Macaca fascicularis: one gene and its partner. The protein of the gene in region 2 interacts with the protein of the main gene of each other region in a biochemical or structural test. Links are inferred from orthologs where the notes say so. Each region holds a gene or a part of one and is shown on either strand. Other genes may lie near its edges.

Region 1 (4,809 bases), on a different chromosome or scaffold from region 2:
ATTATTGAAATGTTCAGTGGTTCACCTTTCTTTACACTCTGAATATGATATGGATATAGAAAGTAAACAGTTATTCTGTTGCATTGCCAGGGAGATATACTTTTAAAGTTTTTGTGCCAGTAATATGATTATTCATATACTTGGGCAATTTATGTGGCTTTATACCTGATTCATTTGGGTGTATTTTTTATATTCATCTAGACATATATTGCTTTCAAGTAGTTAGGATTTTATTTGGACAGCAAATAATACCAGTCAAATCTTTGTGTGGATATTAACTCCCCCATGCTATTTCAGTTGCTTTTCTGTTTCTCAAATTAATGATGTGCAAATTAAAGATATAAAATATAGAATTCCCATTTAATCACCAAACATGCAAAACAAAAAACCCAAAACAAACAAAAAAACTCTATTTGAAGAGTAGTTAATAATTGTATGTCTAAAAGAAATACATTATACAGTAAAAACTCACTTAAAGCTGTAGTATTTACAATGTGTCCAAGAGTTTAAGCTAGAATTCCTGGTCAAGCAAGTTGTGTCAGTCTTGTAATATTGCTTTTTCCAGACCTTCAACCAGGATAGATTCAGGTAATAGAGACACAGAGACAGATGGAAATATAGAGCAGTGTATAGTCATCAAGCCAATGCTAGAACAAATTATTTAATCTTTAGACTATTGTTATTTTGCTGAAACATCATTGGCAAGATTTACAGAATTAAACAAGAGGTGCATTGATAAGTCATTCTAATATTATTCTAGAATAGAAACAAGTTACAGTTCATCTGTGAAATCCTCACTTAGCTCAAATTTTCAGGACAGAAACAATATGGAAGGTTTGTAGTTCAGGGGCTTGCCAGGGTCCCTGAGACTAATGATGTCTGGTTTTGGTCATTGCAGAGATTGAACTTCAGAAGCAGAGCATCTGGTAATGGCCATGTAACCTCTGAAGGCCTTGTCTGGGCCACACACAATTTATCTGCCAAATCATAGTGTATAGTCCTCCAGTGTGTTACACAATCTGGCAGAATTGTGGTAGAATCCTTTATTCATTGTCTAGTTACTCATAAATTGCACCCACTATATAATAATAATTAATCCATCCAAGGATTTTCCAGATTGGCTAATCCCCCTGTGTTCTACATCTTAGATGATTTTTTTTTACTTACAAAATGAATGGTATAAGATGGGATAATTGATTTAATAATACATTTAAAGGTGGTGGTCCAGATGTGGTAGAGGGTTTCTGGCCAGGCTACCCAGATACAGACAGATTTAGCCAGAGAGAAAGCTATATATACATCTTCATAAAAACAGATTCACACAGTGCTTTAGATGCAGCATCATAGAGGCTGGCCACATTTTATTCATAATAACTAGTTTATTTTTTATTTTTATATTTCTGGTATAACAGGTGTGATCAAAGTTTTTCTTGAGCACAACAAATCCTGACACAACACTTTCCCCAAATTAAGTGCTAAATTACATACATGGAACAAACAAGTTCCAGAGGCCGTCCCTGATTTTGACTGTCTGGATATTCTGTCTAGGCCAATGTAACATTCATTTTATAATTGCAGTTGTCTGCTGTCTATATCATATTTCGAAATTTTTCACGTTGAAATTGTTCAGAATCTTTCTCTTCAAGTCAGAGGCCTGTAACTAGCCTGTAGAAATATTTATAGCAATTCAACTGATTATTTTTTTCTAAAATGAGAAGCAAAATATGTAACAACAAATATTCTGATTTAAGTTATTCATTAATTAATGTGACTAATAACAAAAGCAATCGTATTAAGTAATGAATTCTTCAGATTTCATGTACAGAATTTGGTTACCACATTTATATTAAGCAGCAAAGAATTGCTACCTTTCTCAGGTAAGGCTGACCTAGCGAAAAATTGGCTTGGCTATTGGACATGCTATAATTGACCAGGGTGAATTGGCCTAGCAGTTTATATGCACAGGAATCTATTGTGATTGATAAAAACCTTCAAATCTTTGACTTCCGTGCACTCTGTTACAGTTGTATGCATCTACTTTAGAATAGAGTCTTAGTTTTACCATATGAGATTTGATTCACATTGCTATTTTCGTAGTACCTATTTTTGTCTAAGAAAAGGACGTTAGATTGTACCTCCACTGATCTTATCAGAAAATTCTTTAAGTATTAGGCAACTCTCACACTCTTGGTGGCAGAAAATTGTTTTCCAAGTTCAATTTTTCATTTGAAAGCTTGAATTTTATCATTCATAACATATGCTGTATAATGGTTTTTCTTGAAGTGACACATTTACTTCATTCATTTTAGAGAAAATATCCACCAAATACCCAAGTCTGAACAACCATAGTTTGTCTGTTAGTCATTCTTTCAAATAAAAATGGTGTTACATGAAGCGAAAAGCAACTAATTCAGTTCCCAACTCAAAGGTTCACGTAAGTGCTTTTCCTGGAGGCAATGATCATACTTCAGAGTGAACCAGAAGTACTTTATTTGTATTTCCCATTTTAACACACAAAATGTTAGAAAGTCTTGCAGTCAAGGGTCAGATTTAATTAAATGAATAGTTTTTACAGCTTCATTAAGGATATTCTTAAATAAATTTGGGTTTTTATGCCTTTTCCTACAATTGCCTGGCAGTGAAATGTTTTCTACTTCATGAATTCAGTGATTACTATTATTGTTTTGTGTCCTTGCCTTAATTTGTGCTAAGTGCCAGGAATTTTACCTAACCTTGTTTTATACCAAATTTGGTTCCATATTAAAATGGAAATGGAAATGTCAACACAGTGAAAAAGACATCTTAGAATTATTATGAAAATAGTTTTGAGCCCCCATGTCCTCTCAAAGTGTCCCAGGGACCACCACAGGTCTACAGATCCCACTTTGAGGACTACTGACCTAATATAATGCCAGCGTTGGTAACCATTGGCATAGTTAAGAATTGCAATACTTAGAATTTGTATTTACAACTAGAAGTGTTAAAACAACATTCCTCATATAGAAATAATTTAAGCATATCTATATATCTATGTTTTATTGGTTCAAATGATTTATTTACATAACCCATTTCTGCTGTTCAACAGTATAACAAATAATTGAATAACAATTTCATTAAAATGTTTACATATTTAATCACAAAACATGTTAATCATTTTATGATGTTGCTACTACTCTATACTTTCAAAATAATTAAAACTAATATGAAGTGGCCACATAGTCCTAGAGACATATAGTTAATACCTTGTGTTAAATATAAACGCACTAAGTAAATCCGATATAATATGCATTTAGAATAAACGTAGGTGAACCCCACAAGGCTGATAGAACTCAGAAATAAACTCAACATACAATGATACTGCTTGAACCAGAATATCTGAAGTTTTTATATTTCCAATTTGTATGTAGTAGATGCTTAAGTGGAAAATAATGTTACGATGACTTATTAAGCAATGAAGTCAGCACAGTTTCTACTTGGACAGAAATTCTGACTTTATATTTCTTTTCTCTCCCTAGGTCTGATAGCTGTTGTGATTTTTATCTTGCTTTGCATCACTGCCATAGCTGTTCGCATTTATCAGCAGAAAAGGTTATATAAAAGAAGTGAGGCAAAAAGGTCAGAGAATGTAGACAGTGCTGAGGCTGTTCTGAAAAGTGAGCTTACTATACAAAATGCAGTCAGTGAAAATCAGAAAGAGTACTTCTTCTGATTGGCAACTATGATTTAACATAAACTTATGACAGTTTGTTTTAATAGCCAGGGGCTCTCAGTGGACAAACGGATGTTCTTACACTGAATGTACAGGCAATGGGTTTGCAGCACTGCCATCTTGCCATGTCCAGTCTTGGGGTGGCTCCACCAAGCCTCGTCCAGTGATATATTTCTCATAGCATTCATTCTATGGAACAAGACATTAGATATTGCTGTTAATTTACAACTGTTCTGGTATGATCTAAAACAAGTTTAACCTGCTTAATGGCTACAGTTTTTACATGTGAAAACTGTAGCCTTGGTCTCTTAACCATGTAATACATAAGTTTTGTTAGAGGTGAAAATTAAATTTGGACTATAATGACCTTGCTTTATTTGAGAACATTTGCTGTGTTTGCTTTTGTCTTCCCATGGTGTTATTCATAGACCTGGAAATGCTTCTCAGATCCTGTTTGGCCGGTGTTTGCATCTTCAGTGGCCACAAGCATTATAAAGCCCTTTGCCTTTCTCTGTATTATATTCAATACAATACATCAATAGTCTTGAAAAATGTTTTGTTGTCGTTGCTTTGTTTGTATTGCTCATTATTCTATTTGTCTCTTCTTAACATTGTTGAATACATTTGGTTTTGAGTGTCAGACTTCAACTCTGAACATACAAGTTGTATTTAACAAGACTCAAAGTGCAGTGGTTGTTAGTATGTAATGTCTTTCCTTTTAAAAAAAGTTTTCCAATTGATTTGCTACCATTGTTTGTTGGTGACAGTACTTAAGACCCTGAGTAACGCCAGTTTCCCAAAGAATGTAAAATGTTTTCAACTAAACTGTTGATATATTTAAAAAAGTTCTTAACACAGCAAAAAAATTATTTTTTAATTTACAACTGTAATACCTCAAATGAAATATACTTAGGAGAATATTTTCCCCAAACCTATGTCAGTTCTTTATTGGTTTACATTTCTGTTTTTCTGAAGTTTATCACAAACTTTGCCTTGATCTTCAATGATTATACTTCACGAATCATCTTATATATTACCAAAAAAGAGGCAAATTGAAGTATAGAGCTCCATTTCCCATTCGGAAATATATACCCCTTCAG
Region 2 (6,487 bases):
ATCTCTTGGCATTCCTAGTGCTGCAGCCAAAGCACACCATTTTTTTGTTCCCTGTGTAGGCATACATTTTCCACTGCCAGGCCTGTGCTACGCTGTTCCTCCCCCAAGCATGCCCTTCCTTCTCTGCCAACCCAAATGCCACCTTAATCACAGCTCAAATGCTATATCCCATGTAACCTTCCCTGATTCTTCCATCAGAAGTCATTTTGTACCCTGTGAATTCCCACAGCCCTGCAGGAATACTGCTTTTTCAGCACTTAATCATTTTTTCACTATTTTTACAGTTAGTAACACATATTCCTCTTTTCTCCTTCTAGACCAAGATTCACCTCTGGGCAGGATCTAAGACTTAGCATTCTTTGAATCTCCAACCCTTCTCAACATTCCCTGTCCCCTATACCCCTAGGTACAGTGGGTCTGAGACACAGGAGGCAAGATGTTTGCAAATTAACTATTGTAACCCAGAGAGTTAACTTCAGATTTCATTGCTTGAAATTCTCTCAGTTTTAGCAACAATTACTTCTTCTTTGTAGGCTAAAAGTCCTATCTCCCCAAGGTACTACATACAGTTAATTCCTTTTGGACCCAGAGGTCATTTTCAAATATCTCTTACTCCTAAGTCTTCTGAAACAAACAAACAATAACAACAACCAAAATGAAAACAAAAAACAAAACAAATAACAAAAAAAAACCCTTAAGAGACTCAATAATGGTAGAGAAAAGCACTGATGCTATTTTAAGTGAAGGAAAGGCATCCATGCACAAAAAAATGGCTTGCTGCAGGCCACAGCAAAAGGTACAACCATTTACCAGAGCTGTCTCATGAACCTTATACCAGTCCAATCTTTAGAAAAGCCAGATATTGCATTTTTAAAACTATCAACCTGGGCAACGTAGCGAGACTCTATCTCTGAAAAAAATAAACAAATATCTGGGTGTGGTGCCATGTGCCTATTGTCCCAGTTATTCAGGAGGCTGAGGCAGGAGGATTGCTTGAGCCAGGAGTTTGAGGCTGCAGTGAGCTATGATCACACTACTGCACTCCAGCCTGGGCGACAGAGGAAGACCCTGTCTCAAAAAGATAAATAAAAATAAAAATGATCACGTTTATGTTAGAAAAGAAATCACTGATTCCTGAGTCATCGATTATGCTGCTGTGTAATTTCTCTTTCTCTAAACAGTGTATTTACCTGGTAATTCCTCATATTATTAAACTTTCTTGTAAGACATTTACATCCCTGGTCTTACTTGCAAATATAAAAGATGATGACTTTTTTTTTTTTAAACCAAAACCTCTTAGAATGGCTTTTAAATTCCATAAGTACTTTTCTCAGAAAGGGATTTGGCATAACAAATAAGAGAGTAAAAAACTAAGATTCAAAATTCATTTTTACAAATCTATCCTTAAATCTTGGATGAGAGCCAACAACCAACCTCATATTAAAATCTTAGAAGGCTTGACTTGAAGAACATGGGGAAATTTACTTTACATTGACACTTCAAGAACACCTAGTCTATACATCATTAAATAAGATATATGGGAAGAAAAAAAGCATATGTGGATAGCCCTAGTTTTATTATTTTCAATGAAACAACGATATCGTGCAACCTTTGCCCATAAAAGAATGCAAAACAAAAATTTTAAAAAAGAAAAAGAAACCTCTGGTGCCAACATGTTGTATATTTACTTGTGTAGCCATGACTGCTACCGGCTTTTTGAAGAGAACCGTGCAGCCAGTTTGGATTCCGACAGCAATGCAGTAGAATTTAAGGTGTTATGACTAAAATATGTCCTAAACAGGTTAAGCTAGACATACAACATTTTAATACAGTAGTGTCGAGATACTCATTCCTGTGAATACCGCAGGAGAAATACAGGCGAGGAGGAATCACACTGCCCTGGATACACATGAATATGCCATCTCCCTGCCTATCTCTACCCAACCCTACACACACCTATCTTTACCACGCAGAGACAATTAAACAGCCATAGACTCGATGCATTTCTGTGTCCTTGTTCCCACTGGGTGAGGTATTGCCAGCCTGACATTTTTCCCAATTCCCTACTAGTGGGCTATATCAGGTAGGAAAGCAGGGACTTTACTGACCTGGGACCCCATCACTGTGGGTCTTGGGAGATTTCAGTTTCCAAATGATACACGGCACCACCTAGCTATTGTGACAGCTGGGAGAGTGGATGTCACCAGCAGTAGAAATAAAGTATCCTGTTTCCTGAGGAAAACGCCCTGGCTGTGTGACGCTGACCAGGTGGGCACCAAACACTTCTCCGTGTGATATTTTTCTTCTTTTTTAAAGACTGCCCCCCGCCCCGCCGCATCTCTCTATACGTACACACCTCCAGAGTTCATTCTAAAAGAACCAATACAAAGACCATCCATCCTCTAGCCATAAGGTTTTCAGTGCTTAAATGTGGAAGGAGAAGGTCTAGCTAGCATTGAAAGTTGTGGGGACAGGAAGAGGAATCTGATCATTCAACACTATTCTCCTTCAGGTCAGACAAGAGAAAAACAATAGAAACTGCAGAGTCAGGGAGTACAAGACCCTTATGGAACAGGTGCTAAGCAGAGAAGTAGTATCAGAGGATGGAAGCCCCCTTCAAAACCGGGTACACCAGCAAGCCCAGAATGCGTAACGGTTATCCTATTTCCCTGCCATGTGCCTCAAAGCAACATGCTCACTTCCACATCCCCATGTAATGAGGCCAGAGGAAGGGGAAGCGAGAATCCCTACACTGGGCCATCCACACGCAGGAGCAGAACAGAGACTGTGCTCAGAGTTGCAGGGTCAAAATAACAAACACTGTCCCACAGTCTCAGCCGGTGACATCAAGTCAGGGCAGCGGCAGATCTCTGGGTTTGGGGCGCTGTTTGGGGAACGTGGATGCAACCAAACGCGTACACACACATACACAGAATTTTACAAACCCGCCCCTACCCCACTGCCTCCCTCCACACTTCACACACCAAGTGCATCCTGCCCACCTCACCGTTTCCATCATCACATTCTTTCTCCAGGAGAGTCAGCCGAGAGATGAGGGATCCTAGCGGGGATTCCTGGAAATGTCACCCCCCAACACCTCCGTCCGCCACCCCCATCCCCTCTGCTATACCTTTTACACACACACTCTCACACACTCACTCCTGCCATGACTGTCATCAGGCCCGCCTGCTGCGCCCGAAGCCTGGCATCTGAGCGGGCACCGGACCCCAGCCGTCTCGCCCGCAACGCCGCCTTACCCCGCCTCGCTGGCTGATGGTTCCAGGCACTGCCCCCTGGATGTCGCCTGCTGCCCCCGCTCCTCCGCACTATTGTTCCAGGCAGCCCCTCTCGCGTCCGGGGGCGCCCTTTGGCTAGGACCCGGGCTCCGTCGGGGGCCGCATCAGCGCCGGGCACCCCTTCTCACCCACCCCTCCCTGGCTGTGGTACCTTGCCTGACAGCTGGGTCCGCGGGCCCGCGGGAGCAGGCGGCGCTAGTGACAGCGCTGGTGCCAAGCCTGGGAATAAAGCTCCGCTCCAGCCGCTGCTACCTCCAGCGCCACCATCTTCTCCCGCCGCAGCCGCCGCCGCCGCCGCCGCCGGGACCGCAGCCGCCCTCGCCCAGCTCCGGCTCTGCAGCCGCCGCTCGGAACCCTCCGGTCTCGCGGCCCCACCCCCTTTCCCCACCCTCCCTCCCGCCCTCCAGCTCTCTAGCTCTCCCCTCGTGACGCGCGCCGGGGCCGGGCGGGCCTGCGAGGGAGGGCGCGGGGGAGCGCGCGCGCGCACGCCGCCTGCTAGTAGCGCCCCTGCCTCCCACGCCCACTCGCGTGCGCGCGCGGCCCGCGAGCCCGAGGCGGCGGCGCCGCCGGCGTCCTCCGTGGGCAGCTGGCCGCAGCTCCCCTGCCTCGGCGCCGGTGGGCGTGCGGGACACCGGCGCCTCTCGCCTCCCCTCGCGTCCGGGTTTCGAAGGGCCCGCCCTGCCTGTGTTCCACAGCCCTATCCTCTGGTTCCCGGCCAGACGCACGGAGGGGAAAATGCGGCTGCATCCCCGAGGGGACTGACGGGGACCTCCACCCTCCTCGGTGGCAAACCAAGGGGTCCCCAGTTTCCTAGCCAGGAGCTGTGGCCAACCTCTCTGCGAAGCAACGGGCCACGCTGCAGGACCACGAAGCCAGGCAGCTGGGTCGACTCCTGCAGGGTGTTCTCTCGTGAGTGACTCCCGAGCTTTCCCGCTTCCCAGGCCCCTTAGATACCGCCTGCGCTTCAAATCCGGAGATTGACGGCGTCTCCGGAATGCGCCGCAGTGCTGCGAGTTCCCCGCCAGGGGGAGAGCCGCGCGGGTTTGGGCCTGAGCGAAGCGGGCCGGGCTGCAGTTCTCCAGGGAAACTGCCCAGTCCGGCCAGGGACAGCGGAGAGCCTGCGGATTGTGAAGCCGGGGAAGGCTCGGCTTGGTTTTCCTACCCGCTCCTCAGTTCTGGTTGATCGGAACTTGAGAGTGTCTTTGAGCCTAGCATAGGCTATCCGCCCTAGATATGGCTCCTAGCTCGAGAGGCCACCCTTTGCAGCAGGGACCAGGTGGCAGGTGCTGTGTATTAATGAAAAGCTGTGGGCTAGACAGGCCCCGAGAGGCCTGGGCTCTGGCGCTAGCCCCACCTGTAATTAGCAATGCAATAACTAAATCATTCCCCGTCTTAGAAACACAGATTTTTCATAATAATGTTATAACGCACAAAGCCTAGTAGTTTGCAAAGCCCTCTCCAGACATATATTCTCCTCCAGTAAAATGAGGATAAGCGCTGGTTATCCAGATCCCTTGGGAAATGCATCTTTTACCACACCATGTTTCCATAGTATTTTAAGCACAATGTCTCCAGAGAAGTCTGGGGGTGTAGCCTAAAGCATTCTGAAAGTCTTGTTTTAGCTTTAATATTCGTATGAATTCTGCATTGTACTTCGTAATTTTTTTTCTTTAATAAAACAGCTACCTTCTCAAAAAGATCTTTTAGTAAAATTTAAGATTATATACTAGGAAGATGTATGCTTGTCCTGTGACATTACTCTTTTTTTTTTTCCAGTGAATACTTATTTGGCATATGTACGGGCCAGATATAGTCCTTTTCCACCAGAGCTCACAGTAGGCTGAAGGAAATAGGTATTCAACTATTAGACTGGCCAGGCACAGGGACTCACGCCTGTAATCCCAGCACTTTGGGAGGCCGAGTACGGCAGATCACTTGAGGCCAAAAGTTTGAGATCAGCCTGGTCAACATGGCGAAACCCTGTCTCTACTAAAAATACAAAAATTAGCCGGGCGTGGTGGTGCACGCCTGTAATCCCAGCTGCTGGGGAAGCTGAGGCATGAGAATCGCTTAAACCGGGAGGTGGAGGTTGCAGTGAGCCGAGATCGCGCTACTGCACTCCAGCCTTGGCGTCTCAAAAAACAAACAAACAAATAAAACAATCAGACAAAGTGCAACTGTGATAAATTCTCAACTGCAAAGGCGCTAAGGTGCACGGGAAAATCTAATGTAGACTCCAGGACTAGGTAAGGCTTTCTAAGGAAACGACATTTCAGATCCCCCAGGAGAGGCAGCAGTGAGACACTTCCAGGTAAAGGGAAGGAAATGTCAAAAGGCCCAAGCAGGTGGGGCGGAAGTGAGATGAAGCTGGAGAGGCAGGCAGCAATCAGAACCTCAGGAGACCTTGTGGACCGTTTTTAAATAATAATTTTGTCTTATGAGCCTGGAAAGTCAATGAAGGGTTGCCAAGATTTGGGAGCAGGCAAGCAGGATTACATTTCAGTTCCTGAAAGATCGCTGAGGTGGCTTGTGAGGAATTGATTCGTGGAGGGTCAGGATCCAGGGCCGAGGGAGTCTGAGCTTATCCTACTTAGTGAGTGTTTAGAGTTTTCTGTTTTTGCGCTAACTGCTCTTTTGATTGTTTTTAGTTCTTGCCTCTGCTCTCCTGTGTACTCATCTAGGAGGCTTTCAGAGTGCTTCTCTGTAATGGTTTTTGTTTTGTTACTTTTAATCCACTGCGGTTTTAGGAAGGAAATTAACTTTGTTAGAATTTCAGGTTAAATAAGAGAATATAGGTTCTGAGTGAGAGGCTCTTTTCTGTGCATACACTTACTGCTGTTTGGTTTGCTATCTCAGAGATCTTTCTGCTTATCTTCTACTTTTTGTGTTGTGTTTCCAGTTAGACTAGGTTCTTAGATAAATGAATGAGGGTTACATTATTGCTTTAATAATATCCTCGAATCTTACCTCACAGGATTTTTGTGTAAAGAAAGTATGTGAAATTTCTCTGCAAAGTATTACGTGCCATATAAAGAAAGGTAATCATTGTTAGTTATAATGGTAGCCCAGAGACCTCCAAAACTAATTATGTACCAAATGTTCATATGTGGAAATTTCCCTCCCTCCCCCACCCCTATGAAAAACACATATTCCTATTTCTTCCAGATAGCATGAATCATTGTCTTAAGTGC

The links. The genes of interacting proteins can lie anywhere in the genome.
Region 1: the proteins of APBA1 (region 2) and CNTNAP4 form a complex in vitro, tested with the Homo sapiens proteins (2 studies listed by BioGRID and IntAct, with this or other methods). The link is inferred for Macaca fascicularis from reciprocal best matches to the Homo sapiens genes APBA1 and CNTNAP4.

What each region holds. Positions count from the first base shown.
Region 1 is NC_088394.1:72,371,053-72,375,861, forward strand, and holds the end of CNTNAP4 (contactin-associated protein-like 4), read left to right. Parts: intron 1-3,515; coding exon 3,516-3,709; 3' UTR 3,710-4,261; downstream 4,262-4,809. UniProt on the Homo sapiens protein: Presynaptic protein involved in both dopaminergic synaptic transmission and GABAergic system, thereby participating in the structural maturation of inhibitory interneuron synapses.
Region 2 is NC_088389.1:100,366,747-100,373,233, forward strand, and holds the start of APBA1 (amyloid-beta A4 precursor protein-binding family A member 1), read right to left. Parts: upstream 4,269-6,487; 5' UTR 4,129-4,268; intron 3,683-4,128; exon of another isoform or gene 3,258-3,682; intron 1-3,257. UniProt on the Homo sapiens protein: Putative function in synaptic vesicle exocytosis by binding to Munc18-1, an essential component of the synaptic vesicle exocytotic machinery. May modulate processing of the amyloid-beta precursor protein (APP) and hence formation of APP-beta.